Diceros bicornis minor: one gene and its partners. The protein of the gene in region 1 purifies or fractionates together with the protein of each later gene. This does not show direct contact. Links are inferred from orthologs where the notes say so. Each region holds a gene or a part of one and is shown on either strand. Other genes may lie near its edges. The genes, in order: HDAC1, GLI1, core histone macro-H2A.1 and BCL11B.

Region 1 (6,927 bases):
GTCTGTGGGCTTCCAAAGTCTGGAGCCTTGGGCTGGCTCCATGGCTTAGCAGTTAAGTGCGTGCGCTACGCTGCTGACGACCCGGGTTCGGATCCCAGGTGCGCACCGACACACCGCTTCTCCGGCCATGCTGAGGCCGCGTCCCACATACAGCAACTAGAAGGCTGTGCAACTATGACATGCAACTGTCTACTGGGGCTTTGGGGGGAAAAAAAATTATAAAGTCTGGAGCCTTGATGTTGTTTCTCCCATTAACCTCTAGGGATGACCAATCCTGAGGTGATTCAGAACCTGGAGCGAGGTTACCGCATGGTGCGACCTGACAACTGTCCAGATGAGCTGTACCAACTCATGATGCTGTGCTGGAAGGAGCGCCCAGAGGACCGGCCCACCTTTGACTACCTGCGCAGCGTGCTGGAGGACTTCTTCACAGCCACAGAGGGCCAGTACCAGCCCCAGCCCTGAGAGGCCTAGCTGGCTGGGGCCTGGAGCCCTCCCCCATCTAGCCAACCCAGCTCTGGGAGATAACGGTTCTTGTGTCATACCCATGTGGCCTATGAACGTACGGACTCTGCACCACGTGAATCCCGCCCATGCATGACACACACACTTCTCGTGTCTTATACACGGGTTCTGTAGTTGTGTGGGCTCTGCACATGTGTCTTGTACATGTGTGGCCTGTGCATATATGTCTTGGACACTTGTCCCTTTCTGGACCCTCCCACTTCCGGAGACCACCAGAGAGAGGAGCGAGGCCTGTGATTGACACCAGCTTCTGCTCGCCCCCTTTTCCTTTCCCCTGGTCATCAAGAAGCTCCTTGAGGGCCAGGACTTTATCTAATACCTCTATGTGCTCCTCCTTGGTGCCTGGCACACATCAGGAGCTCAATAAATGTCTGTTTGTTGATGAAGATTGTACATCTCTCTGCTCCCCACTCCCATCTCCTCTTCCTTGGGAGGGGGGAGGAGCATTCAGAAGATGGAAACTGAGTCACCCTGAATTGGGGTGAGAGATAGAATAAGGGATGTGTAAACTTTTTCCAGCCCTGCTGATGTTGGGGGCCAAGAGGAGGTCACTTGCTACTACACTTTGCTGTATGGACTTCAAACCACTACCCCAAAGGATTAAGGGTGACCATTACCCAGAACCTCCTAGGGAGTGGGTGTGTCCCAGGACTCTCCCCCCTCCCATTATATAAGGGCACTAGCATTTTTTACAGCTACGGACTCAAGGGCTATATTTGGCCTCAGATATGTTTTGATTCACTTTCAAGATGTTTTTAAACATTGAGTTAATTCACTCATTTAACAAATATTTATTGAGCATCTACTGTGTGCCAGGCATGGTTCTGGGTTCATAGGATATATAGTAGATAAAATAAACAAAATCCCTGCCCCTTTGGGGCTTACATTCTAGTAATGGAAGACAGACAGTAAACATCACAGAGAAGTAAAGGATATGTATGCTATAGGTGATGAGTGCTCAAGGGAAAACAGCAGGGTAAGGGGAATTAGGACTGTCATGTTTAGGGGAGGTTTGCAATTTTAAAGAGGGTGGTCTGGGAAGATCTCATTGAGAAGGTGATTTTCGAGCAAAGATTTGAAGGAGGTGAGGGAGTGAGGGATTGAGCCATGTGGTATGGGGGAGGGTCTGTCAGGCAGAGGGAACAGCATGAAGCAGAAGCTTGCCTGGCAACCGCAGAGAGGTAACGACAGCCTGAGGGAGGGGTATAGATCCTATGGGGCCTGGGGCCTTGTGGCCTTTGCAGGAGCCATTTTGAGGAGCCTTTGCAGGGCTTTATGCAGAGCCTGACATGATCTGACTTATATTTTAAAAGGATGGTTCTTACTGCCGTCTTGAAAATAGACTGAGTTAGCAGTCAATTTATACTACTGGTGAGATTTTGCATAAAACTCCAGATTTCTGCCTTCTCTTGAAAAAAACAGGAGGATTTGGCTCCGTCAGGCTTACCTGTCCTCATGGAGCTGAGTAGTGGCCACACTCTTCAGGTGGGGCATGAGCTCTCTCTTTGCCAAAGTCTCCTCCACTCCCTATTGCTCCCAGACAATTAAACTAAGTGTTAGTAGCTATTTATTATCACGCTCGTGCTGTTTTTCTTACAATAAAGAGGAAAATGAAATGATTTTTTGCACCCACATTTCCATTAAAAAGAGAAAATTAAAGATACCTGAAGATGGCAGTGTGTTTGAAGAAAGGTGGGGGAAATGCATATTTATTTATGAAAGCGAAAAAGAATCCAATTTTGAAAATATGCAAAGTGACAGAATCAAACTAATATAAATAATATAGTATGAATCCACTCATTTACATCACCTGCTTGATCTCCTTAGGCATCTGAGTTTGAGATTCCTGTTCTACATTTTATAAAATGCTGCCACACCCATGACTTCAACTGATCCCCACTCTCCTCCTCATTTGGACAGTGTAGCCATAGAGTCTGTGAACTTTTTATTCTCATTCTCCATTTTACAAAGAGGGAAATGGAGGTCCAGAAAGGTTCCTAGCAACACAGAAGCAGCAACACAGAACTGGGAATAGGGTGTGTTCCCTGGCCCTGGCCCTTTGCTGTTTCTATAGTAGAACTGACCGGTCTTAGATCTTCTGTTACCTTTATCATTAATGACCCCAATGCAGTTCCCAAGCGAGGAACACAAGTGTCCAAGCACTCTTTAAACTGTAAAGAGGAATAAAAATGTATCTTATTGACTATAGGACCATGAGTGAGTAACTTATTTGGCATATAGTAAGCACTCACTAAATATTAATATTGTTGTAATTGTTATTTTAATAGCCCATCATGGTGCTTTTCAGTCTTTCAGCTTTCAATAATGACCAGTTGATGACTGATCATCAGTGCAGTGGTTCTCAAGGGGAGAGTGGGGGTGGGGGTGCAATTCTACACTGCCTCCAATCCCCTCCCCCCTTGCCCCGGAGACAGTTTTGCAATGTCTGGAGACAATTTTGGTTGTCACAACTTGGGGGATGTGCTACTGGCATCTAACGAGTAGAGGCCGAGGATGCTGCTAAGCTTCCTACAGTGCACAGGATAGCCCCCTCCGATAAAGAACTATCCAGCCCAAAATGTCAGTAGCTTCAAGGTTGAGAAACCCTGCTCCAGAAGAGGACAATCAATTTCCTCCTTTTTAAAGGCACTCCTTCTGGGTGACTGCATCAGGAAGGTAGGCTTTGGAGTAAGAAAGTCTGGGTTCTGCTACTTTGTTACAGCCTCTGGTGCATAGTAGGCCTTCAAAAAGTCTGTACAGTTGAAAACTGAATTTAATTACTAATTGTGCAATTCTGAGCAAGTCACAAAGGCCTGAACTTCATTATGCTTATCTGTAAAATGGGGATAAAAAGCCCTACTCCAAAGCTGTTGTGAGGCCTGAGATAACCGAAATAACGCTGGTAAAACTATTGTACAGTACTTGGCCTCCAGCAGTTTTCTTTCGTTTGTCAGATTACCCCTCCCTCCTCCAAACTCAGGTTCTAATCCAGGTTCAGCCCTTTTGTGAGTTAAGTGACCTTGTGCAAGTCACTTTTCCCCCATAGGCCTCAGGTGATTCTTTGTAAAATTACAAAATTGACCTCTGATCACCAACCCCAAAGAGGGACTGCGAACTTTACAGACCGCTTTCCTCCCCCGGGACTAATGGTACGGTCCCCGGGCAGCTTCCCCCACCCCCCTGTCGTCGACCTTGGTACAGGCCCAGGGGGCCCTAGGCGGCCTCTCAGGGCTGCCCTTGCCCCCTGCCGAGTTCCGGGCCGTCCCTGCGCGAGCTGATTGGCTGGAGCGGTGCCCGGGCTGCGCGGCTATAGGTGATCCCGGGAGGGGATGGGCGGAGCGCGCTGGAGGCCCGCCCCCTCCCCCCCTGGGTCGGACGCTGCGGAGCCGCGGGCGGGAGGACGGACGGACCGACCGACGGGAGGGACGGGAGGCGAGCAAGATGGCGCAGACTCAGGGCACCAGGAGGAAAGTCTGTTACTACTACGACGGTGAGCCCCGGCCTCGCGGCGGGGGCGGGGCCTGGCCCGGCCGGATCCCGGAGAGGGAGGCTGAGGCGATCTGAGGGGGGAGGCTGGGCGAGGCAGGGGCGTTGAGGGAAGGCTGAGAGAGGAGGCAGAGGGGAAAGGAGATCGAGGCTGCGGGACGAGGCTGATTGGAAGGAGGTCGGGGCTGAGCGACGAGGCTGATTGGAAGGAGATCGAGGCTGAGGGAGGAGGCTGAGAGGAAAGGAGATCGAGACTGAGGGAGGAGGCTGATTGGAAGGAGGTCGGGGCTGAAAGGAGGCTGAGAGGAAGGAGGTTGGGACTGAGGGAGGAGGCTGAGGAGAGGAGATAGAGGCTTAAAGAGGAGGCTGAGAGGAAGGAGGCCGGGGCTGAGGGAGGAGGCTGAGAGGAAGGAGGCCGAGACTGAGGGAAGAGGCTGAGGCAGAGAGGGGGTCATCCAGGGAAGCCTGAGGTCATCTTGGCGGGGGGGAATCCTGAAGAAGGCTGATGTGGAGACTGAGGGGGACTCCTGGAGGGGAGGCTGGGTCTGAGGGAGGAGGCAGAATCTGATGGAGAAGGTTGCAAGGGTGTATGTTTCCTGCTGAGAAGACAAAGGTCTCCCCCGCGCCTTCCCTGCCTCCTCTGTTTTGGTGAGAGTCCTGCGGGAATCACCAACTCGTGGTCACCGGCTTCCCCTCCCCCCGCCTGCGAGCAGGGCCTGCAGTTGCTGCTGGGAAATGGGGCCCCTGGGGTTGGAGGGAGAAGGATGCAACCTATTAAAACAGACTTTTTCATGTAACAGAAATCTGTCGACCAACTTGCTCTGTTGTAGGGAGTGTTGAGGTGCTGGGGCCATGGGAGGATCAGGTCACTTCCCATCTTCGTCTCAGTCGGGAGGGGAAGACAGACAATGACGGAGAGCTGCTCTCCACTATCATGGCGGGATCAAGGAAAGCACAGAGGGGAGGCGCTCGGCCCGGCATGAGGAGTCAGGGAAGGAGGTGCCATCTCTTAGGACCTGAAAAACAGGAGTTGTTAGCCTGGCACAGGGAAGTCCAAGATAACAGCAAGTTTAGGGGTAAGAGAGGACAGCACCTTTGGAAAACAGCAGTTGTGTGTAGAGTATGGCTGAGGCCTAGATCTGAGGGCAGAGCGCAGAGGGTAGGGAGCAGGGGCCAGGGAAAGGTTGCCAGTGATGAGGCTGGAGAAGTAAATGGGGACTGGATCCTGAAGGGCTGGGCATACTGCCCTAAGGAAGTTGGACTTTATTCTGAGGGTGCTTATGAATCATTGAAGTTTTATGCAGGTTAGTGACATAATCAGATTTATACCTTAGGACAGAAATTAAATTCATGAACGCAGGGGTAGGGAAGAAGGTGAGAATCCCAAGTTTCTGGTTTGGACAGTTTGATACAGAGTGTTTGAAGGCCATGTCAGTTGATAACTGTTTTTTTTTTTTAAGAAAAATTCGTTGATATGTCTGGGGGCTATCCGAGTTTTTGGGTGTCCAGTAGGCAGTTGGCCATTCAGGTCTGCAGTTTAGAAGAGAGCAATTTTTGGTAGTCGTCAGCATACAGATGGTAATTTTAGTTACAGAAGAGGATGTGGTCACCCAAGAAGTTGTATGGGGTGCAAAGGGAAGAGGATCCAGCGTGGAATCCTAAGGAAGTGGACTGAGGAAAAGTCTAGTGCCCTTCATGCTCTGTCATAGCGCTTGTCACTGTGTATTGGAATTGCCCATTTACTTCTTCATACTTCTTACAGACAGTAAACTCCTTAGGGAAAGGGACTATGTCTTCTCTACCTTTGTATGCTCAGCCCCCAGAACAGTGCCTATCTCATAGTAGGCTCTCAATAAATACTTGTTGATTAAATGAACAAAGATACAGAGGGAATGGCCAGAGATGTAAGTGAATCCGAAAGTGTTGGGTTACAGTAGCCAAAACAGGGAGGGAGTGGCCTAGTGTTGGCAAGCACTGTTTCCTGTGCAGGGTTTGGAACTGAAGCTAGATTGCAGTAGACTGAGGAACAAATGGATGGGGGAAGAGGAGACATCAGGTTGAACCCTTTTTGAAGGAAGCTTCTCCAGGGCAGAGAGAGAGGGTTGTTGATAAAGGGGAGGTATAGTGGCTGAGAGTTGAATTTCCAAATTCTTATGGAAAATAGCCAGAGAGAAGGAGAGGTTGAAGATATAAGAGAGGGGCTAGTAATGATGGAGTTTTCTGAGACCAGGTGAGATGGAAACCAGAGCACAGTTAGGGACACCAGCCTTCAAGAGGAAGTTCCTTCGTGACAAGAGGGTAAGTGGCAAGGAAGAGTTCAAGTGTAGGTAGGTTTGAGGGGGAGAAGGTGGGGAGGAAGTTGAGGGAGTTTTCAAGATGAAGTAAGAGAATAGTCTTTTTCTTGCAAGTCGGGGAGGGCAGTTGGTAGAGTAGGAATCTTGAAGAGAGAGAGCTGTTCAATAGCTGTTGTGAAAGAGGGAGCTAGGAAAAGAAATTTGGAAGGAGTGCTGGGCGGTGGTGAGGGCCCATTTGAGGCTGGAGCCTATGACTTTGTAGCCATATTAGTTTGCACAGTTGTGATCTCCACACACTCAGTTTAAAAAGAGGAAAAGTGGAAAGATCCTGGTCTTTAGAGAAGGAGACTTCTTTTTGAGAAACTTCTTGTGAGTTTTGCAGTGCGGTCACTAGCTTGGGACTCAGATTTGGCTCTGCCACTCAGAAGCTTTGCAGTATTGGGCAAGTCACTTTACCCTTCCAGGCCTCAGCTCACTCTCCTATAAAACTGAAAAATTATGAAAATGGGGAAAAGCTCTTTAAAAGTTTAAAAGTAGTATCTAAGTAAAAAGGATTATTTCTTTTAAGTCTTTCAGCAACCTGGTTAAAAACTCTTAAGAAAATGATGGTGTCTCTGGTCCC
Region 2 (7,570 bases), on another chromosome or scaffold:
AGTTCTCCTTCCAACCCAGAGACCCCAGAGAAATAACCACTGGAACTCCAGCTGCCTCGTGGAAACTGCTGCAGCAGAGGTGGCTGGGCAACCTAGAAAGACTGGGGTCTGGGGGGAAATGGCCCGGCCCCACCTCGTTCATATGGAGTTCCCGCCCCCGAATTCCAGACCTTGGGGCCTGAGCATGTGAAATCATCCTCTTTCTTGCATCATGTGTGTCCACATTGCCCCCCCACCCCCATACCCCTACCTCAAGCTCAGTGACCAGGGCCAGATGGTGAAACCCGAGCTCCAGGGGGGAACCTCCCCCCCCTGCAGGGACCTGATGGGCAGCACAGCCGGCCAATCCTGAGGCTCAGAGGGTAGGTTGCCGGCTGACCACTAGGTGAGGGAGCCCCAGGCCACTGGCTCTAAAGAGGCCCCAGTCAGTAACAGACATGAGCTGTGAGGGTCAAACTGGCAGACTTCGCTAAACAGAGCTACCCATCGGACCATCCTCTTCCTGCCCTCCTGAGTCCCAGGCAACAGAAGACAGGTGGTTCTACCCTTGGCCAAGGGTAGGTGTGGCACTGCTGTCTGCTGCTGCTGTGCCCTCGTTAGCCTCCACGCAATCAGATTCAACAGAAGGAGCAACTGCCGTCTGAGGCTCCCAACCCGACCCAGGGCCATCCGCCAGGAGCATGGGGCTCCCTGATGTCCAGTTCCAGCTGGTGCTGCTGTGGGCGCTGGTGTGGGCACAGGGGGCAGGGTCTGTGTGCCCCTCCTGTGGGGGCCGCACACTAGCACCCCAAGCAGAACGAGCTCTGGTCCTGGAGCTAGCCAAACAGCAAATCCTGGAGGGGCTGCACCTGACCAGTCGTCCCAGAATAACTCATCCTCCACCCCAGGCAGCGCTGACCAGAGCGCTTCGGAGACTACAGCCAGGAAGTGTGGCTCCAGCGAATGGGGAGGAGGTCATCAGCTTTGCTACCATCACAGGTAGGTGAGGGAGAAACAGGCAGAGAGCAGATGGGGAAAAGGAGGCAGAAGGGGAGACTGACAGAAAAGGCAGAGGGAGTGGGGTGTAGGAGGAGGAGGCGGAGATGGGGCAGGGACTGGTTGCGGAGGACGCAAAGCAGTCCCTGTTTCTTCTAAAGGTGGGTGCTAGGGAAAGCAGTGGGCCGGGCTTATGGGACTCTCAGAGCAGAGCTTCATCTCTGCTCACGTTCCTCAGTCCCTTCTCCATCTTTCTGGCAGACTCCTCCACTGCAACCTGCAGCTTCATGCTCACCTTCCGCCTGTCCACTCCTCAGTCCCACCACCTGTACCACGCACGCCTCTGGCTGCACGTGCTCCCCACCCTTCCTGACAGTCTTTACTTGAAGATCTTCCGATGGGGCCCAAGGAGGAGGCGCCGACGGTCCCGCGCCCTCCTTGCTGAGCACCAAATGACAACCCCGGGCTGGCACGCCCTGACTCTGCCCTCTAGTGGCTTGAGGGGTGAGGAGTCTGGTGTCCTGAAACTCCAACTAGACTGCAGACCCCTAGAAGGCAACAGCACAGCTGCCCGACAACCTCGCCGGTTCTTGGACACAGCGGGAAACCAGCAGCCCTTCCTGGAGCTTAAGATCCGGCCCAATGAGCCTGGAGCAGCCCGGGCCAAGAGGAGGACCCCCACTTGTGAGCCTGAGACTCCCTTATGTTGTAGGCGAGACCATTATGTAGACTTTCAGGAACTGGGGTGGCGGGACTGGATTCTGCAGCCCGAGGGGTACCAGCTGAATTACTGCAGTGGCCAGTGCCCCCCCCATCTGGCTGGCAGCCCCGGCATTGCTGCCTCCTTCCATTCTGCTGTCTTCAGCCTCCTCAAGGCCAACAACCCTTGGCCCTTTGGTAATTCCTGCTGTGTCCCTACTGCCCGAAGGCCTCTCTCTCTCCTCTATCTTGACCGTGAAGGCAATGTGGTCAAGACGGATGTGCCAGACATGGTGGTGGAGGCCTGTGGCTGCAGCTAGCAAGTGGACCTGGGGGTTTGGAGTAAAGGGATCACGTTGGGGGTTCCCAGGCAAAGGGCATCTGTGGCTGGGGGCATCAGATTTCTGATCCACAGCCCCACCCAGTGGGCCACCTGGCAATATGACTGGGTTGACCTCTATGGGACCCAGATGGGCACTTTCTTGTCCAGCCTCTGGCCTATTCCAGGCTGGTTGATGTGTGGGGAGATAGGGAAAGTGTGTCTTCTAAAGGAATCTACCCAGAAAGCATGATTTCCTACCCTAAGCCCTGTGAGAAGATGGCAGAGGTGGGGGGGGGGGGGAGGAGAAGGCAGAGAAAAATGACTTAGTCTCTCTCAAGAAGAGAAAGTCCTCAAGTGAGGGAAGGAGAAGCAGACCGAGGACCCAGCAGGCTTGGAACAGCGGAACCGGCTGGCCAAGGGTAGGGGCTGTCGAAGTGCTTTAAGGGAGGGTCAAGAGGGAGATGGGCAAGGGGCTGAGGGAAGGTGTTCAGGAGAGCCCCAGAAATGGGAGTCAGGAGAGAAGGGTGCTGGGCCTGAGAAGTTCCCTGGTTTTTCCTGGGGGGGCAGGACCCAATGGGGAGACAAACGTTTCTACTTTCCTAATAAAAACAAGGAAAACAAATCAACAAGTGTGAGTCATAAAGAAGGGCTGGGGTGATGGTCCAAAGCAAAGGTTCTCAAGGTGCGGTCTGGGGACCCTTGGGAGGTCCCTGAGACCCTTTCAGGGATGTCCCCAAGGTCAAAACTATTTTCGTAATAATACTAAGATGTTATTTGCCTTTTTAATTTTCATTATCTCGAAAGCATACAGTGGAGTTTTCCAGAGGCTGTGTGACATGTGATTACATCATCTGACAGCATTGTTAATGGGATGGTGCTTGTGTATTCTTGTGTTACAAACTTTTTTTCAGTTTTAATTTCTAATATGGTAAATTGATATAAACCACATAAACAAAACCTCAATAATTTTTAAGTGTAAAAGGGTCTTGAAACCAAAATGTTTGAGACTCGCCGATCTAGAGACCTCGGTGGGGAGGACAAAGCACTGTGCTCTAAAAGAGCCAGCCTGAGGGAAGGGGCAGATGGCTGGGACTGGAGCATGTGTAGGGTCCCTTCTTCTCTAGTGACCATTGGTCTTGCCTGACCCTCTGGGTATAACTGGTGTCTGGGTCAAAGTCATGTGGGGGAAGGAGGGTCAAATGTCCCTGCCCAATTACTACCTATACTTGTAGGGCCTCAGAGGTCTTCCTAGCTGCACTTTTTCCATGGACCCTCAGACTGAATACTGAACCTAGTGACCCCCCAGGCCCAAGGAAGTGGTTCTTGGAAGCAGAGCTAGGATGTGGGAGGTCTGTCTGAGGGGTGACATAAAAGGAGGGGACTCCTTTCCCCCACCACGCTTTCTCCCCTTTCTCATAAGGAAAAGTCAGAGAGACTAAAATAGCTGCCCCTTCCCCTGCATCTGGTCGCCATGGCAACACAAATCCCAAGGCACAGGGCACTCGCCTATCAGTTAGGTACTACCGCTCTGCGCTAGCAGCCTCTGCCGGTGTGCCCTCCGTTTCTGTGGGCTCATACAACCCCCTCCCTGGGCTCCTAACTGGGCCTTGGGTGGGGAGACCTGCTAAGTCTCCCCCAGTCTCCTCTGCCTCCAGTCAGACTCTGAGAGGGTGTGATGTGGCAGAATGGCCAGCAGAGGGAGCAGACAGCCTTGAGGAGCCGAAAGAGAGCGGGCAGCGCAGAGGTGCGGAGGTGGCCGCAGTCTCCAGAATTTAGAGATGAAGGAGAACGGAGGTTCTCAGGGAACATGCTTCAGCCCCAGGGCTCCTTTGTAACCTTGTGAACACACGCTGCACCCAAAGCCTGAGCCACCTGCTCCTCTCTTTTGTGCTTCATAGACTCCCTCACCTTCCGCGCAGGGCCGGCGACCCCAACTCTGTCCCAACCCTGTTTCCATCAAACTCCAACTCTGTCCCAACCCCTTCACGTTCCATCCGATGGGTGAAGCCGGCAGATAAACCACAGGGTGGCGGAATGCTCAATCAGCACCAGCCAAAGTCGACGACCCAACCTTCAATATTATCTTTCTCGGACGAACTTTTAGTCGCCCCGGCCCCCCGCCTCCCCCCCCCCCCCGCATATATCTATCAATCTTTTTTCTGGTTCTGATTCAGGGCCTCTTCGTGGGTAGTCGATCCAAGGATCCATGCCGGGATTTACTGCCCACCAGCAGCAGCGTGTTCAGCGGGGGGGCAGGGGGGGCAGGCAGTATAGGGTCCCTCAAGGGAGGGGGAGGATCCTGGGGGTCCTGGGGGTGCAATAAGCCCGGCACCCCCTCTCTCGCTTCCAGTTACCCCGCCTCATCTTCCAGAACGGTGAGAGGGAGGGAAATAGGAGGGAGGTGAGGGGCGAGCGGGAAGAGCGGCGGCGCGCCAGCAGCTTGAGCGAGAAAAAGTTTTTGCAAAAAGAAAAAAAAAGTTTGCGCTTCTCGCGGGTGGTCCCGGCTCGCGGCCCGGCGGGCTGGGCCGGCGGGAGGGCTGGGGGCCAGGTTAGGGCGGTGGGGGTGGCACTGAGGCTGCGCTGCTGTGGCCCTGTCCGCCCCCCCTCCCCACCGCACACCCCCAGCCCAGACTCCAGACCTGGACCGCGCATCCCGAGCCCTGCGCCCAGGCGGAGGTGAGAAGGGGGGCGCGCGGGGGACCACCTGGGAGCGGTGGGGGAGGGGGCTTGAGGGGATGCTCTGCTTGCGAGGGACTCTGCCCAGCCAAGAGGGAGACCTGGGGCCCAGAGGCAAAATGGGGGTGGGAGAGCCTGGGGTGAGATCTTAGAAAGTTTGGAGAATTTTTTCATTTGTGTCTCCGTTTCTCTGTATCTTTTTTTCTTCTGACAGTCTGTGTGTCTCTGTCTCAGGCAACCGTGGATCTCTTTGTCTGTCTCTGCCTCTCCCATACATTAGAAACATCTCACTTCCATGAGGTTGGGATGAAGAGGCTGGAGGGACGGCTAGCTGGAGGTCTGCGTGGTAGAGGGAACTCCAGGTGTGTCTCTGAGCGCCGGGCAGGAAGACGTCAGTGTTTCTGAAAGGAGGGGACAGCTAAGGAGAGAGCCCTAGGTGGGGTGGAGATGGGTGTGTGTGAGGCGACAGAACCACCGGGGGGCGGCTAGGCTTGAACCCCTGACCTGTCTTGTGACAGATGTGCTTTCGGGTGCATGTGTTTTGAGGAAGAGGAGTGCCTTCTGGACTAGGAGGGTGGCTGGAGGGGCCAGTGTCTAGTTTAGGCCCTAGAAAGACTCCCCAGGGAATTTGGACTCCTGAGTCCCAAGGGCTGTGGGCAGGGTGCTAAGGAGGAGCTGAGGAGACCTTGTCTTGACCCTCTGACCTCAGGACCACCAGGGCAGCTGGGGCCAGCCGCAGGGAGACCCCTACTGGGACTGGGCGGGACCACTGGCCGCTGCCTGCTTGTGCATCCCTGTTGGCCCCCCTCCCAAACGGGAGCTGGGGACCGAGGCCCCTCCTCTGGCTCAGACCACCCTGCCTGCCCTTGCTCCCCGCTCTGAAGCCTCTTTCAGGCCCCGTGACCCCGAAACAATCCGCCCTGGGCAGCTAGCTTTGGGGACAGGATTAGGGAAAGGGGATCCCATAGAGACCGGGGACTGAAGGTTTTAGGGGGCTGGAGAATTGGGGTCTTGATAGGATAGATCTTTACGGTCCAGTAGAGGGAGAAGGCGGGGCGATTTCCCGGGGGAGTTGTGAGGGCCGGAATTAGGGTGGTTTTCCCTAGGGGGGCGGGGTCCAGAGACCCCCCCCCATTATCTCCCCGGCATCCCCTGCCAGGCGGCACAGACCCCGCCCTTGACGTCACTAAGGGGTTCCCGGGGGTCTGGAGGGGTTAACCCTTGGGAAGCCATCCGGGACACCCGGGAACCTGAGGTGTCCTGGCACCTCCTCCTCCCCATACACACCTTATTTTATTTACCCACTTTCTCTCCCTACAGTTTCGGCATTCTTCTTTCTTTTCCACGCCGCCACGGGGACCCCCACTCCCCAACAGTGCCCCCCCCACCCCCGCGCCACTGCCAGCTTTCTGGATGCACTGAGGGGAGGAGGGAAGAATGTGTCCCGCCTCTCACCGCCCCCCTTCCTCCGACTCCACTGCGGCTCGCTCGACTGGGCTCCCGGGGCGGGCGGGGGAAGCGGAGCCGTCTGCAGCCAGAGCCTGCGGCGGCGACTTGGGTGGGCCGAGAAGGCACGGAGGCGGGGAAGGCGGGACCGGGAGAAGGGGGCGGGGCCGACTCCTGGGAGTTGGGGAGCGGGGGTGCGAGGGGGACTCTGGAAAATAGGGAGACACAGAAGATGATTCAGGGCTCCGGCAGGGGAACCCTGGAGCTCCCTGCCCCATCCTCGCTCTCACCCACACCCCAGGAAACGTAACTCAAGCTGGAAAAGTTGGCGAAATTTTTCTTTCACTAGTGTGAAGGGGAGACGTGGGTGGGCTGTGGCACGCGTGGGTGAGGAGGGATGTCGCCCCACTTCCAACTCTGCTCCCCTGCGGCTGGGCTGTGGGGCAGGACGATGAGAGTAGGCACGTTTGGGGGAGTCTCTTTAGTGTTTGGGGGGTCATTTGCGAGCCCCCGCCTCCTTCCCCTGGGTGAGTCATAGAAGGAGGCGGGAGAAGTGTCCCCCCATCCAGCTGCCAGCCAGCTGTGCCCCCCCACCCAACCTAGTGCCAGGGTCGAGTTGGGAGGTCTTGGATGCGGGACCCGGATCTCCGCTGGGAAAGGAGGAGTTAGGAAGGGTACAGCCCAGGCTGCGGGGTTCGGGCTGGATCATGGGGTCCCGGTTCCGCTCCCCATCTTACCCCGCCCTCACCCTAAATCCCAGCATCCCGGGATCACCCACCGCGCCGGCCGGCCCGCTCCCGGTCGTTCTCCACCCTACCCCGCCCCACCCCACCCTCAGTCCCGGGAAACCGGAAAACCCGGGGCGGAATAAAAACTGGAGTTTGAGGAGAAAAGCGGACAGCGGCAGCCTCTCCTCCTTCACTACTCCTCTCTAATGGATGATGGCTTCATTTTTTCATTCTCTCAAAGCCTTCCTTCATAGTCCTTCTCCTGTTCCCAAAACAGACCAAAAGAATTTAGATGGGAGCCCAGATTCAAACCACCCCAGAATAACATCAGAAAAACATTTCATCCTTTCACCCAATAGACCCGGGAGGCTCCCCTCAGAAACCTTATCCCCTTCTACACACAGTTTTCTGCCATAGGGAGAAAAGGGCAGATCGTCGGTGATCTCTCCTGGCCCCAGCAGCTTCTGTCTGGGCTGTGGCGAGAGCGCCCTCTGCTGGACACTGGAGAGACTGTAGACGGGCTGTCCCCGGGCAGGAACAAATGAAGGAGAGGGAAAGGGGCTGAGGCAGAGGAGCCAGCCCAGGGCTTGAAGTCAGATGCTCCGCATGAGTTCCCCATCCCACCTGTCAAAGCTGGCCCGTGGTCTGAGCAAGAGGAAAGAGAGGGCCCATGGTATAAAGTCACTTGAAGCTCATATAGGCACAATTAGTCCACACCCCGCTC
Region 3 (6,924 bases), on another chromosome or scaffold:
TGCAGTCCTCAATAATTTAAGAGGATAAAGGGGGTCTGAACCCAAATAGTTTGAGAACTGCTGTTGTAGAATAACTACCTGGTTAAATGTTCATAAAGGACCATTAAGTTTAAAAAGCACGTGATAAGCACTAAACGCAGTAGGAACCTGAATATGTTCAATATTAAGTAGATATGGTTGCAAAGGCTGGAAGGCGAACAGTGGTTCTCTTCTAGTGGTGTACTTAGGGTGATTTTTATTTTTGGCACATTTTTATTTTCCAAGTTTTACGTGGTGAACATGCATTTATTTTGCAATTGGAAAAAAAACCTGAGGGCTAGCCTGGCGGCATAGTGGTTAAGTTTGCGCACTCTGCTTCGGTGGCCCGGGATTTGCAGGTTCGGATCCTGGATGCGGACCTACACACCACTCACCAAGCCATGCTATAGCGACGTCCCACATACAAAATAGAGGAAGACTGCCACAGATGTTAGCTCAGGGCCAATCTTCCTCACCAAAAAAAAAAAAAAAAAAGAAGCTGAGGAAGCCCCCTGAGCCAGATTGGGGAAGGGGACAGGTCACGCAGATGGAAGAACAGGGCATGCAAATTGCTGGAGAGAAAGAGGGTGGAGCCTTCTGGAGCGAGCTGGAGACAGGGCCTCTGCCTTGAACAACGCCAGGGGACAATATTTCTAGTGAGTTCTATGAGAATGGCACGCTGTGGAGGGGTGTAGGGGGTGGAGTTGGCACCAAGATCAGCTTTTGGAGGAGTGCAGACTCTAACCCAAGGACAGTGGTGCATGACCGAGTGGGGACAAAAAGATCCACTCTGAATTGGGAGGTGTGGGGAGGACGGATGCTGGGTGGAGAGGAAATGAAGCCCCCAGAGGGGCTCTTTTCAGGCCTGAACATGAAAGCTCTGGTCCCAGATGAACGTGGGTTTGAACCCCAGTGCCAGCCTACTTTCTCTGAGATCTCAGGCATTTTTCCTGGCTTCTTGAATCTACAGTGTCCTCATCTGTACAAAGGGGATAGAAACGTCCCAGAAACAGCCTGTCTGCAGAGCTGTTGTGAGGAGGAAATGATGGGATATACGTGATCTGGCAGATGGTGAGAGTGCAATAAGATGGAGAGCAAGAAACGGCCTTTTACCCGCTTCCCAGTCACCAGGCAAATCAACTGAGTCAGAAACCAATGCTGGGCTGGAGGTGAGGGAGTTACTTCTTGGCTTCCTAGAGTTGCAGATTGGGATCTATTGGACAATCATCCTCTGCATCTGGCCTTGGTCATCACTCAGGACCTGGGGAAGAAGCAGCCTCAGGTCTGACCACTACCAGGGCATCAGCAGGCTGCAAGCATCTCCCCCTCTCCACACAGCCTGGCCTTCCCCGCAGCCCAGCAGTTCTCTCTCGTTCAAGTTTCCAGGAGTACTGCTTATGTTTTGCACCAGGGCCTGGACAGTGTGGTAACACACCTAGAAAGTTTTCCTCTCTGGGAAGGAGCCTGGCACGACCCTGGCACACAGCAGGTGCACAGCAAGTGTTTGTTGAGTGAATAAATGGAGTCTGGCATCCTCCAGACTTGCCATGGCCCACAGAAACCTTGCGTGGTGGCTGGCCCCTGCGGAGCTGAGACTTGCCCAAGGACCCAGGGAGGGGCAGAGCAATGACATGAGGTAGTCTCTGCACCTTCCCTGACACCCCTCTGCAGCTTCCCTGGGGGATCCTTATGCAGCCAAAATACTTTGTTTTGGGACTCAAAGAATCATCATTTCTCCAGCCTCACCTCCTGTAACTCTCTCCCCTTTGCTCCTTCCACTCCAACCTCACACTCACTATTCCTTTTTTTTTAATTGAGATATTAGACACGTAACATTGTGTAAGTTTAAGGTGTACAACGTGTTGATTTGATACATTTATATATTGCAATACGATTACCACCTTACTGTTAGTTAACACTTACATCACATAATTTTCTTTTTTTTAAATTTAATTTTCTTTCTTATTGGGGAAACATTGGTTTATAACATTGTAAAAATTTCAGGTGTACATCATTATATTTTGCTTTCTGTATAGACTACATTGTGCTCCCCACTAAAAGTCTATTTATCATCTGTCACTGTACAAATGTGCCCCTTTACCACTTTAGTACTCATCAGCAGATGAATGGATACAGAAGATGTGGTGTACATATACACACACACACACACACACACACACACACAAAGGAATACTACTCAGCCCTAAAGAAAGATGAAAGACAAATATCATTTCTTTTTTGTGGTAAGAGCACACTCATTATTCCTTGACAATTTTGGAATGTCCAATTCCTGCCTCAGGGCCTTTGCACTTGCTGTTCCTCATGCTTAGAACACTCTCCCCCAGATATCCACGTGGTTTGCTCCCTCAATTCCTTCATGTCTTTGCTTAAATGTCACCTTCTCAGGGAGGCCTCTAAAATTTGAAACCCCAACCCATCTCACCCTCCCTATCCTCCTTCTCTGCCTTATTATTTTTCACAGTGTTTACACCATCTGACACATCATCTCTTTTGCCTATTGTCTTTCTTTCCCTACTCGACTGCAAACCCCAGGTGGGCGGGCATTTTTACCTGTTCGGTTCACTGCTTCATCTTTATCACCCAAATTGATGCATGGCACAAAGTAAGACCTCAGTACTTAATTGAAATGAATGCATGAATGGCATGCATTGGACACTGCTTTGCAAACTGTTACAGTTTGGTGGGTGTAAATCATCATCTGGAGGAGAAGAGGTTACCACCGCTGCTGTAGGGGGCAGCCTGAGGGCTGGGAGGGGTCTTTGAGGACTTCCATAATCGTCCCCCCAACACCTCCAGCAGCGGTACACTAAACCTCACATCAACTCTGCTGGGCGTGTATTGTTATCTAAATTTGGTCACAGCTGGGTGCTGAGGTGGCTTCCCCTTCCACGCTTTTGGCAGATGGAGAGGAGGAGAGTAGAGGGAAGGCTCCTATTTAAGTACTCCGAAGGGTCCGCTAACGCCTTCGGGAGAGAAAACAATTTAGCAATACAAAGACCGGCTTTGAGGTGGCCCTTCCTCTTTCTGCTTGTCCGCAGTTTCAAAAAAAGTGTGTGATGATAAAGAATCACTGTTTATATTAATAAATCCCCACTTGGGTCCAATAGAGAACGTTTGCTGAATCGAAGTAGCTAACGCTTCCATGCGCAAAGCAGGTGCAGCCTTCTGAGGGTCACTATGAAGAGCCCGAGGGGAGCCGGATGTGCAGCAGCTGGCCGTGGGGTCAAGTGTGATGGGGTTAGTATTTAGAGACCGCGGGAGGCTCTGAGGAGCGCGGGAGGTTTGCATTGGCTGGGGAGGGAAAAGTGCTTGCTGGTAACAGCAACTGTGCCTCCCTCCCTGGATCAATGGGAAGACTTCTAGGGATAAGGCAGCGAAAGGCCCGTGCTGAGGGCCAGGCACACGTAGGCGCTTAATCAGTGTCACTCGAGACACACAGGCTGGGACGCGTTCTGGAGGAGCGCCTCTGCCTGGGGCCCGACCCTTTCCAAGGACTTAGCTCAGGACGCGCCCCAGGCTCAGGGCCGGACCCTGTGTCCGGCGTCCACGTCCAGGCGGCGTGCCTGAGGGCGGAGGGCCAGACGCCAGGGCCTCAGGGCAGCCAGGGGACAGACTGACCGACGTCCAGGCGGCGGAGCGCCGAGGGCCGCCGCGCGCGCAACCGCGGGCTGGGGTCAAGGCCGGGGCGCCCGGGTGGCGCGGGAGGGGTGGCCGGACGCGCGGGGACGGGATGGGATGTGACGAGCGGCGCGCTGTGCATTGTGGGAATCCCGGGGCCGCGGCGACTGGTTCCAGTTCACTCAGCAGCGGAGCCGGGCGGAGGGGGCGAGCGCGCGGCGCGGGCGGGAAGCGAGGAGGCGGGCGGGCGGGAGCGCGGGCGGGCCAGCGAGGAGCGCGGAGAGAAAAGGCGCGAGCGGCCGAGAGGGCACGGGCCGGACACCTTGCTGCTGCCGCCGCCGTCGCCGAGCCGCCCCGTAAGTGCCGCGCGGGCCCCTCGCCGCGCGCCCCGTCCCCGCCGCCCGGGTCCGGCCGCCGCGCTCTTCCGGCCGCGGGTGCCTGGGAGCGGCCGGGCCTGGCGCGCACCGGGCGGCGCTCGGCCGGGCTCGGGCTGCAGCGCTCGGTGCGGCCGACGCCGGGGCCTCGCGCGCGCACGGCGCCCTCCCAAGGCCCCGCCCGGGCCGCGCGGGATTCCCTTTGGTTTTGTTCAAAAAGCAAACCCGGAAGCCAACTTCTCCTGGAACCGCGTCCCCCTGCCCGCGCCTGGGCGCTTTTGTGGGAAGGAGACAGTTCTGGCCCCTCCCCCGGCGTCCCTTCCCGGTCCGTGCGGGCCGGGCCGGAGGCCGGAGGAGGCCCCGCGGCGCTGGCTGGCCAGCCTGGGCCTGGGCGTCCAGGAGCTGCTGTGCCCAGAGTTGTACTTGGTGAGGCGGCCGCCGGCCCGCGAGTTGCCGGCCCCGGCACAATAAGTCGGGCCCGAGCCCCAGGTGGCCGTGGTGTAGAAGTCTGGCTCGGCATCTGCCGGGAGCGTAGGGTGGGGGACTGGGGGATACTCGCCGGACTGAAGCCAGGCAGGGGCGGGCAGGGGGCTATCCAGGGACTGGCTGGAGAGGGACCACGGGAACCCCCGCTGCTCTCGCTCCTCTCCTGATCGGCCTTTTGTTTGCTTTGTGGTTGGGAGTTTTTTTTTTAAGGTAACTCCGGAAGGCTGTAGGCTCCTGGGTGGAGGAGGCCAGGAGGGAAGAGACTCGCTGGGGGTGGGGAGGAGTGGGGAGGTGAGTGTGCAGGATGCTGCTGGCCGTGTCACCTGACAACAGGTGTGCAGGGTGGCGCGCCCCACCTCCACTCCTGCAGAGACCACGAATCACTCAAGGGTCTTGTCAATAGATTGCTTGGAAAGTCCTTTTAGACGAGATGTTAGGGAAAATATTCTTGAGTTTGAAAGTGCGAGATTTCTGTGCAAATAGCTGAGACAAACCTTGAATTCAACAGTTACAGTTACCAGGAAGTCCTGGTAAGGTTTTAATGATCCAATAAACAGCGTATAAGAATAGACAATTAGAGGGGCACTCCTGCTGGCTTCTCTTTTTCTTCCACCTTTGTGGTTTGAGGTTTTACCGTCGAAGAGGAGGGAAAGTGCTTTGTTCCAAGGCTCCCTGCTCCAGGAACTGGGAGATTTTTGAACAGCTGTAGGTTTGAGTGGGAGACTGTAGTTGCAAATTAGGTGGAGTCCACCTACTGCAGGCCGCCTTTAGGGTACTTGTCTGCTATTAGGAGTTGTTAGCTCTGAAATGGACACCTCATGCCTGCACTGAAATTAATACCCCTTGTACACAACTAACCAGGGTTGGGCCGCGACATCTCAGTCTTGCACGAGAGGCTCTCCAATAAGGATAGATGTGTTTTAAAATCTTTTTTGTTTAAACCCTCAAGACTTTAAAAGTTTCCCCCCTCTAGTTTTAAGAGGAAAGTAGGAAATTTCTCCAGTCTGTTATTTTGTTTTAATGTTACCACTGTTAATGCTAATCCTTAGATAAAGGCATTAAGGAGGAGGGAAGGGGTTAAAGTAAGTGAAAATTGTTTAGAATGAGCAAGGGATGGCTCGCATTTGGATAAATTTGAAGAGTTGTCGGGGACATCACACATGAGACTCTAATACACGACCGTAAGTCACTGGCTTGGTCTACACCAAATGTGCCAGGGTCAGGGAGTGGTGCACCTCAGTCTGCCATTTCTTCCGGCCCTGGAGACGGCAGAACTCCGGGAGAGCCCTCATCCCTTCCGCACGCAGAGGCTTGGAGTACGTGTATTCTGGGACTGCCTCTAATACCTTCAGAGCTAATGCTGCCCCAAGTCATTTAAAGGAGACTCAAATAAACAAAAACACAAACTGAAAACCCCAAGCTGACAAAACCCAACAAGAATCTGTATGTGGTGTTCGTCAGAATTGCAGCAGCCTCTTGGTCTCATTTGAGTGTGTCTTGGGTTTTTGACAGCCCCGTTGTTGGTACATAGGCTGGGAAGGAGCAGGGGTGAGTGGGGCCCGTACTTGTCCTTGGTCCTCCCTGGGTTCTGTAGGTTTAGGAGTACATTGGGCCCCACCTCAGCTCTCAAGAGTGAGCTCACGTGGGTCAACTCTTCATTCCAAAGAGTCGTATAGCTTGTTTGCTTGGATCAAGCCTGCCAGATGGGTGTCTTGCAGTCTTTTGATAAATATTTCCTGAGAATCAACTCTGGGTCAGGCACTGGGGACAGGACCATGATCAAGAAATGCCCAGTCCTTGTCCTTGGGAAGCTGATGTGAGAAGGAGAAATAGGCAAGCATCCGTTGCAAGGTCAGTGCAGGAGGTCAGAGTAGCTCCCATAGTAGCCCCTGGGACAGTAACCTGGCCAGGAGCAAGCCTTTACCAGGCACTGAAAGGCCACGTAGGAGTCAGCTGGGCAAAGGAGGGCAGGTGGGGACAAGTATTTGAGGCCTGGGGAACCACATGTGCAGAGTCTTAGAAAATGAGGATAGAGGTGAGAACTGCCAAAGGCTCAGGATGGCTGGATCCTAGAGGGGGGTCAAGTGAAGCTAGAGGGTCAAACAGGCCGAATCTCAGAGGATGCTGGTCAGCAACACTGAGGAATTTAGACTTCATCCTGAGAGCAGTCAGAAGCCGTTGAAGGCTCTGAGCCGGGGAGACACATGGTCAGATGTTCTTTATTCTTATTGGGAAGTCTTCATCTATTCAACGAATATTGAATGGCTTCTAGATACCAAGCCCTACCAGGGTCCTGCCCTTCTGAAGCTCGCATTTTATCTTTTCCTTTGATGGTCTTCTGTTGGAGTGGTTATCTCAGAGTTTGGCACAGCCTTTAATAGAGGAGGTGTGAAGGAAAGTTTTCTTG
Region 4 (7,435 bases), on another chromosome or scaffold:
CCTTCCTCTCTTGCCCTCTCTTCCTTCTCCTCTTCTTCTTTATTTTGCTCTTTCTTCTATGCTGTTTTTTGTTTTGTTTGCAAAAAGAAAAACAGAAGACAAAAAAGAAAAGAAAAACCTCTCGATCTAAAATAGGAGAAAGAGGCAAAAAAAAAAAATGCTGTTGCTTGCCGCGGAGTGGCCGGTTTCTTTAAAAATATATTCTTCTGAAGGAAAAAAAAATCTCTTACACTTCTTCAAACTGCTTGGCCTCCTGGACTTCCAAATGTCTTCTTGAACTTAAACCGGATTTTGCACCGGCTCCTGAGACTTTCTTTCAGGGTCTGGTAGGTGGAAAGCGCACTTCTACCAGGAGGGGGGAAAAGGGGAAAAAATGCAAACAAATAAAAAAGAAAAGAAGAAAAAGAAAAGGAAAAAAAGAAAAGAAAACTTGAGGACTTGTCTCGTATCCCCTCACCCCGCCCCCTCAAAAAACCCACAGCAATGTAAAGCTGCCCCGGTTCGGTGGTTTCTGGGTTTTCTGCGGGCTGCCTGTTTTTTTTCTCGGAGACTGACCCTTCCGAGGCTCTGGGGGACTGACTCCAGGAGCGGCTCCTTCCCAGTTCACCTGGCAGGCTGGCGCCGGCCGGAGAGGCTGCCGGGTCCCCGCGAGCGCTCCCCAGCGCTCCCCTGGCGCCGCGGGCCCGGGGGGAGCTGGGCTGAGGGGCGGCTCGCCCAGTGCGCCTGGGTCGGTGCGGGCGCGGACTGGGAGCTATAGATTGCAACGTGAAGATGGCGGAGTCCGGGTTCTCTGGGAGCTCTCGGTCTCTCTATGGCTGGGGCTGCCTCTGTACAATGGGATAAAATTCAAGTTCAAGTGCGGACGTGACGTTTAATCTGCACTAGAGACAAAAAGACCCAGAGAGTCGGAGCACTGGGGGCGACTAGCGGTGGCTTTTTAACATTGTACCCTGTAAGAGAACAAGAAAGCACACACACACACACAGAGCCACACTCGCGCGCGCGCGCACACACATACACACACACACACTCGCCCGTGCGCACACCCGCAGTCCAGGCCGGCCACACGTGCAAACAGCGTTTTTGTGCGCTCCTCTTCTCCCCGTGCACTGGCAGCGCAAAGAGGGGGGAGACGGTGGGCAGGATATTTTTAAATAAAAGAAAACCCTCTTCATCCCTCCTCCCCTCCTGGGAGTAGGACCCCCTGAGAAGGGGGGCGGAGTGCTGCGTGCGTGGAAGTAAGTTGAATTAACGCAAGTCCCCACCCACCCATCGAAAGCTCTTTTGGACGTCGGGGGGGGGCCGGCGTTGAGGAGGGTTGGAGTCGACATGGGGGACATGGTCAGTCGCTTCATCTCCCTGGAAAAGTAGCTTGGTTGTTTTTACTTTTGTTTTATTCGGGGGTCGGGGTTAAACTTCCAAAAAGTACCTCCATATAAATCCTGATATTACAAACTCTGGGAGAGCGAAGTGGACAAAATAAAAGATATACAGAGGAGAGAATTAAGAGCACATTTGGGGGAGGGGGACATGAGACCTTGTTTGAGTCCCATTCCGGAAGGAATGCTCACCGGAATCTGTGAGCTCTCTCCACTTCACCCCATTAACTCCTGCGGGTCAAATCCGGGCCCCACCCCCTAACACCAGAGTCAGCAGGAAGTGGGGGCTAAGGGGGCAGGGGTGCTCCACGTGGGAGAGGGAGTTGTCGGCGCTGACCCAGAAGTAGGCGGGGCCGGTACTCTGAAGACACTCCTGTGGATGATCCCCTCAGGTCCCCCAGTTCCCTCCCACTCACTGACAATTATTGCAACCTGAAAGTGACGCCCCCACCCCCAGTGCTCCTCCGCCCAGGGCAGGACTTGAAATCTCCGGTCAGACTGGGAAGGACACAGCTGCCTTGTCAGCCGTTTGATCTCCAGCCGGCGAGGACAAGAGGAGTTGTGGGGGCCTGTCCGTGGCCCGCGGACAAGGCCAGGCCGCGGTCTGCATGGACACTCCGCCGCCCCCAGCCTCGTCCCTCCTCAGGCCGTGGCCAACTCGTCTATTTGATGACCTGACCTCCCGGGCTGGACGCGCCACGCGGTTGGACCTCTCTCCCTTCTCAGGGTTTCCTGGTCTGGGCCGGGAAGCGGCCAGGGCGGGTCGGGGCCTGGCTCAGGGCTGGGCTTCGCGGGCGAGCCCAGCTGCACCCACCCCACCCCGCCCCCAGGCCCGGCTCCGGCGGCTTCACCCGAGCGACTGGTTAGGCCGAGACGCCTCCGGGCTCGCCGCCTCCCTCGGGTCCTTTTCCTTGGGGGGCACATGGGGTTTTTGTTCGCCTCCAAGGTCTCGGGTGGGGTCACCGTACCAGCAACTCAACAGAGCGCAGCGCCCATTAGCGAGGCCAGAAAGAGCTCCCTGCCTAAACCACCCCCCCAAAAATAATAACAATAAAATGTGCCCCAGCATGCAGTTTTGCGGACTGGGCTGCAGGGTCGGCGGCCAAGCGGGTGGAGACTGGGCGGTGGAAGGGGCGGGGGCAAGTCGGCACTCCCCCTCCCCACCACTGCACGCCGCTGCCCACTACTCCTAACCCACACTCCACCTCCACGTGGTCCAAAGTCTAGAAGCGCCTCCCTCTCCTCTCATCTAGCCCCACCGCGAAAATCTTTCCAGGAAAGTGGCCTAAGTAAGAAAAAATGCCCACACGCACCTTTCATAAACTTCTTAAGAAAACCATAAACCGGTCATCCCAACTCGCCCAGATTCTTAAATTTGGAAGAGCTGTTAGGTCTCTTTCCGAGAACTGGCCGTGTGAAGTCCAGAGAAGGTTAGCGTTTTGCCCAAGGTTACACAGCGCAAGGGGCAAGTCTGGACTCCAATCGCCGCCGCGTGCCTGCTGCCCCGCGCCGCCTGCGCTCCGGCACCCGAAATCCCGACACGCGACACTCGCCCTCGGGGCGATGATAACAAGGAAGGGGGACCGGGTCTGTGGCTGCGGGGAACGCGGCAGCCGCCTTCAAGAAAGGGGGCCCTCCGCGGACTGCGCGGGGCGCCCAGGGGCCCCGGCTGCAGCTGCCGCCCCCCGCGCGCTCGGGCGGCGGAGTCTGGGGAGGGGGCACCCCGCCCCACCCCCAGCAGGAAGTAGCGGGCAGGGGGCGGCGCGGGCCGCGACTGACCCGGGGAGCACTTCCTCATTGGCCCCGCGCTGCCCCGACGGCGGGAAGAGGGACGCGCGGGCGGGCCGGCGCAGGGCCGGACACGCCGCCGCCGGCCGGCGCGCTCCACCTCGCGGCGGCCCGGGAGAGGCTGCCCTGCCCCTGCCCAGCCCGCGCTGGCCCCTTGGCCCTCCTCCTCCTCCTCTCTCCCGAAAGGCGGCCGGGCGCAGGCAGCAAGCGATCCCAGCTGCCGCTCCAGTCTCCTTTTTTTCCCTCTGCCCGTCTGGCACGGGCATCATTAGCGGTGGAAGCTGTTAATGTCTGGTCTCACAGCTCCCCCTTTAGTCTTGCTGCGCTCCCTGTCTCGCGTTCCAAGCCGGATCAATAGCCGCTTCTCCGCCGACCTTGACCTCTCCCTCGACCCCGCCCGGCTTAGGCAGCTGGCCCACACTAATGTTTCCCCACTCTCCGGATGCCCAGACAACAGGCGGGCGGGGCGGGAGGAGATGGGGAGCCCGGGACACAGCCCCGTCCCTACCCTTTCCTCAGAACCCCAGGCAGACAGGGGACCCAGTACTCTTCAGAGAAGGTCACGGCGCGCGCACACACCCCCCCACCCCACCACTTCATCTACCAAGTCTTTGTTTAGAATAAAAGTCACTCCGTCCCCCAAAAAAGGGGGGGTGAGGGGGAGCGGGTGCTTAACATATGAAAATAAAAGAGGAAAAAGTACAAGTACAAACGTGGTCCTGAGTCATATTACAATCCTTCAGACTCATTTCTCCAGCACCTGCTGCAGACCTACTGGGTGCTGGGCCCAGGGCTGTGGCTTTGTGCAGACTGCAATCAGATGGAAAGAAATACCACATTTTCTGCACTATCTTTAAAAAAAAAAGATAAAACAGCAGATGTCAAAAAGCTTTTTGAACTCACAAATATTTCCCTGCTTTTCTTTTTCTAGCTTCAGAGTGCATTCCAGCAGATAATCCCCCATATTCTCAGTCACTTTAAATTTCTTTATAGAAGAATAGTTCAGAAATCAGAAATCATTGCATCAAATCAGAGTGCATTTTTATTAACCTTGTGTGGGGCTCTGATTCCCTATGTGTGCTTCTCGTACCATGCCACGCATGGGGGGGCAGATTAAACAGACACGTGACTTCCTAGCCAGGCTTCTTGTTTAAAATTCTCTGAAGGATTCTCAATCCTTAACTCTTAGCTGAGGTGGGCTCTATTTGCGATTCTACAATGTTATCTTTGCCTTCTGAGCTGTTAGATTTTCTATGACGTCTTTACAAAAATTTGGAAAGAATCAAGATAAGTAGTGTCAGTAGAAATGAGAACTCCCAACGTTTATGCTGGAAAAAAATCGACTTTTCATTTGCTGTTTTTTTTTTAACATGGATCCATCCTCTAAAATGTAGTCAAATAACTTTGTAGCAATATACAAACTTAACAGCACATCTTACAGAACCGGTTCATCTATGGTGCTTTAAAAAAAAATCCGTGCAAAGAGAAGGCGAATCTTTTCGTATTCACAGGTGTAGGGCAGACTCAGAAGCAAACTGTGTCTGCTAATTTCTACTCCTCAGGATCTATAAACGCTATTGACTGTGAAAATGAGGATAAATAAAATGCAGCGTTCTGATCAGTGGATTGACTTGTTTTAACTTTCAAAGAAACCGCAATGGAGGTACTAAGCAAGTCATATTTATGTACATATTAATAAGGCTCCCGAGATGGTCCTTATCTTCTTCTTACAGTTCTAGAATCTCTAGGAGCTATCAAATCCAGAAGCATAAAAAGACAAAAGAGGCCTTTTGGGCTTCCCGGCATATCTTATAAAATTGTTTTATATCATTTCTGAAAATTACGGCAAATTTCTAAATGCCGTAAGCACTCAATTCAGGCTTTGCTGCATTTGGAGGAGTTTTTCGGATTGTCACCTTATAGCAGAGACAGGACCACAAAACTTGCCTTCTGATAATCGTTTGGATGATTCTCTCCGTGTCCTGAATTTAGTAACATCGCTTTTGTTAAAACATGACATCATTTGCACCTTACTTATTTCTGCAAGTAATATTTGGGCTTGATACAGTAGTAGATTTCCAACCATTGCTTAACTGCGGGAAGCATAGGCAAGCTCTAGAAAAACTAAGAGGCATCGTTGCCTGCTGTCTTTAGAGCTGCAGCCTGCAAGGGGTTAAATCAAAGTCACTCTTCCTGATTCATGTATTATTTTCCTTAAAAAATACTTACCCAGCTCTCCGTATATGAAAAAGACTCACACCCACATTGACTGTTCCTAGCTCTGTCCCTGTCATCAGAAATGATATTGAATGGCTCAGTACTAGGGGATCTGGAACTATTTCTACAGCTTTCTCACCTCATTTGGAATTTTCTTGCCTTGCTAATTTTAATGCTTTAGTTGAGTCATCAATTCAAATTCGGTAGGGACTGGCATCACCCAGTTGGTCGACTTGGGAGAAATATTGTTCACCAAGACAATCAGACTCCACCAGATCCCACCCCACCATGTGCACAGAGATCAGAGTGGCTGTGGGGAGTGTGTATGCGTGTATGTGTGTGGTGTGTGGTGTGTTGTACAAAAGAGTCTCTCTGCTGCTTTCCCTCTTGTCACTGAGTCTCCAAATTGTATGACTAAAAGTGCAACACACACACACACACCAGTTTAAATTCAGGGGTCTAGTGACTGTCAATCTACCCTATTTAGACCACAGACAAGGAAGAGAAAGAGAGTTAAAATGGTTCATTTGGGGAAAGAACTGGGATGCAGAAGGGAATTTTCAGTTCCGACTCTGGCTGTCAGGCGCTGCCGTCAGAACTGGCGCTGCATTGAGTCTGGTGATAGGAAACGGGGAGCGGCCGAGATGGAGGCAATAATGATCACCTTCCTAACAAGGGGTTTTATGAGGCTGTGAGGATTAATTAGTTTGTATCCTTAAGCAGTTTGAGAAAGAGGAAGTTTCAGTAAATGCTAAGCAGGAGTTGTAGACAAGTCTGACTCAGTTGCAAGCTCTGCCCCCACCGCCAATCCCAGGCTCTGAGAACTCCTGTCTGTGCTGTGATGCTCCACAAAGAAAGCAGTGGAAAGAGAATCCGGGGAAGTACTGGCCTAGGGAAGAACAGAGAAGGAGAGAGAAGCACGAGTCAGGCTAGCATCCCTCCAAAAGGCAGGCTAATGAGAAGGCTGCAAGGCGGTACTTACCAAAAAATAAAAATAAAAACCAGCCAACACCTTGTTTCGCAAATGCCTTCCAGAGCTGGAAAAGAAAAAAGGATCTGGGAGATCTCATCTGTTGTTTCGTAGTTTTGGAAACAGGCACGTATGCTTTCGAGTGAATTAACAAAGGTAGTTTGTATCCTAGAAAACACTTAAGTGGCGTTCCCTCTATTTAATAGAGAAGGGTTAATGTTGCAAGATGACAAGCACACAAGCTTCTGCAACACAAAGTTTGAACCACGGGCGCATTATTGGAGATGGAATAGTATACCTATAGTACGTGGAAATTATAAAAGTTGCTCTATTGTGCACGTATTAAAACATTGCATCTGCGTGAAGACACACTTTCAGCTCAATTTACAAGGCAAACAATTTGCTACAACAAAAGATAATTAATGCTGCCCAGGGAAAACCGAGACGCTGAATTGCTGTGCGTTCTGGTATTAGTTTAATCTGAATCCTTTAAAAAAAATGATTTCACTGTGATTTTTAAGCCTTTGGGATCGTTGAAACAACAATGGCTTCTAAAATATGGATGTGGCAATAACGTTTCCATTTGAACTTGTGACAAAGCCCCTCTGCCTCTCTCTCTCTTCTCTCTCTCTCTCCCTTTCTCCCACATGTGTCCTGAAATGAAACAGTGGGTGAGAGCGAAGACGCCCATCTCTGACCTGTCTCCGATGGTCTGCCATCTAAATACAGGGCAGATTTACGGTCGATTTTTTAACGTCTGAATTTGGACCTCCGGATTCAAATGGGTGGATTCCTCAGCTGTTGGGATTCAGTTGGAAATGCAGTTTCATTATTTGTATCTGCTTAACAGGAACAATTAGAGAACTGAAGAGTGAGGAGGCCTGTTTGGGGACCATTTTGGTATTGTACCCAGACCACACATTCCGGCTGGGAAGGAACACAGTAATGTATAAAGCATTAGTGGGTTTAACACTCCACGTTGTGTTTGGGGAATCGAATTGTCGATGTTTCTGGCAAGAACTCATACTCCAATTGAAATCTATCAAACACCTTAATTAGCTCCCGGTACCTCAATGCACCC

The links.
Region 2: the proteins of HDAC1 (region 1) and GLI1 purify together in Homo sapiens (affinity purification with western blotting; 3 studies listed by BioGRID). This does not show direct contact. The link is inferred for Diceros bicornis minor from reciprocal best matches to the Homo sapiens genes HDAC1 and GLI1.
Region 3: the proteins of HDAC1 (region 1) and core histone macro-H2A.1 purify together in Homo sapiens (affinity purification with western blotting; 3 studies listed by BioGRID, with this or other methods). This does not show direct contact. The link is inferred for Diceros bicornis minor from reciprocal best matches to the Homo sapiens genes HDAC1 and MACROH2A1.
Region 4: the proteins of HDAC1 (region 1) and BCL11B purify together in Homo sapiens (affinity purification with mass spectrometry; 4 studies listed by BioGRID and IntAct, with this or other methods). This does not show direct contact. The link is inferred for Diceros bicornis minor from reciprocal best matches to the Homo sapiens genes HDAC1 and BCL11B.

Annotation. Positions count from the first base shown.
Region 1 is NC_080752.1:47,051,609-47,058,535, forward strand, and holds the start of HDAC1 (histone deacetylase 1), read left to right. Parts: upstream 1-3,909; 5' UTR 3,910-3,966; coding exon 3,967-4,015; intron 4,016-6,927. Other genes in the region: tyrosine-protein kinase Lck, read left to right, coding at 263-465. UniProt on the Homo sapiens protein: Histone deacetylase that catalyzes the deacetylation of lysine residues on the N-terminal part of the core histones (H2A, H2B, H3 and H4).
Region 2 is NC_080756.1:11,495,199-11,502,768, reverse strand, and holds the start of GLI1 (zinc finger protein GLI1), read left to right. Parts: upstream 1-4,550; 5' UTR 4,551-4,672; intron 4,673-4,886; 5' UTR 4,887-5,034; intron 5,035-7,570. Other genes in the region: INHBE (inhibin beta E chain), read left to right, coding at 681-978, 1,237-1,994. UniProt on the Homo sapiens protein: Acts as a transcriptional activator. Binds to the DNA consensus sequence 5'-GACCACCCA-3'. Regulates the transcription of specific genes during normal development.
Region 3 is NC_080740.1:54,404,668-54,411,591, reverse strand, and holds the start of core histone macro-H2A.1, read left to right. Parts: upstream 1-3,911; 5' UTR 3,912-4,013; intron 4,014-6,924. UniProt on the Homo sapiens protein: Variant histone H2A which replaces conventional H2A in a subset of nucleosomes where it represses transcription. Nucleosomes wrap and compact DNA into chromatin, limiting DNA accessibility to the cellular machineries which require DNA as a template.
Region 4 is NC_080763.1:44,454,258-44,461,692, forward strand, and holds the start of BCL11B (B-cell lymphoma/leukemia 11B), read right to left. Parts: upstream 3,007-7,435; 5' UTR 2,693-3,006; intron 1,719-2,692; exon of another isoform or gene 346-1,718; 5' UTR 1-345. UniProt on the Homo sapiens protein: Key regulator of both differentiation and survival of T-lymphocytes during thymocyte development in mammals.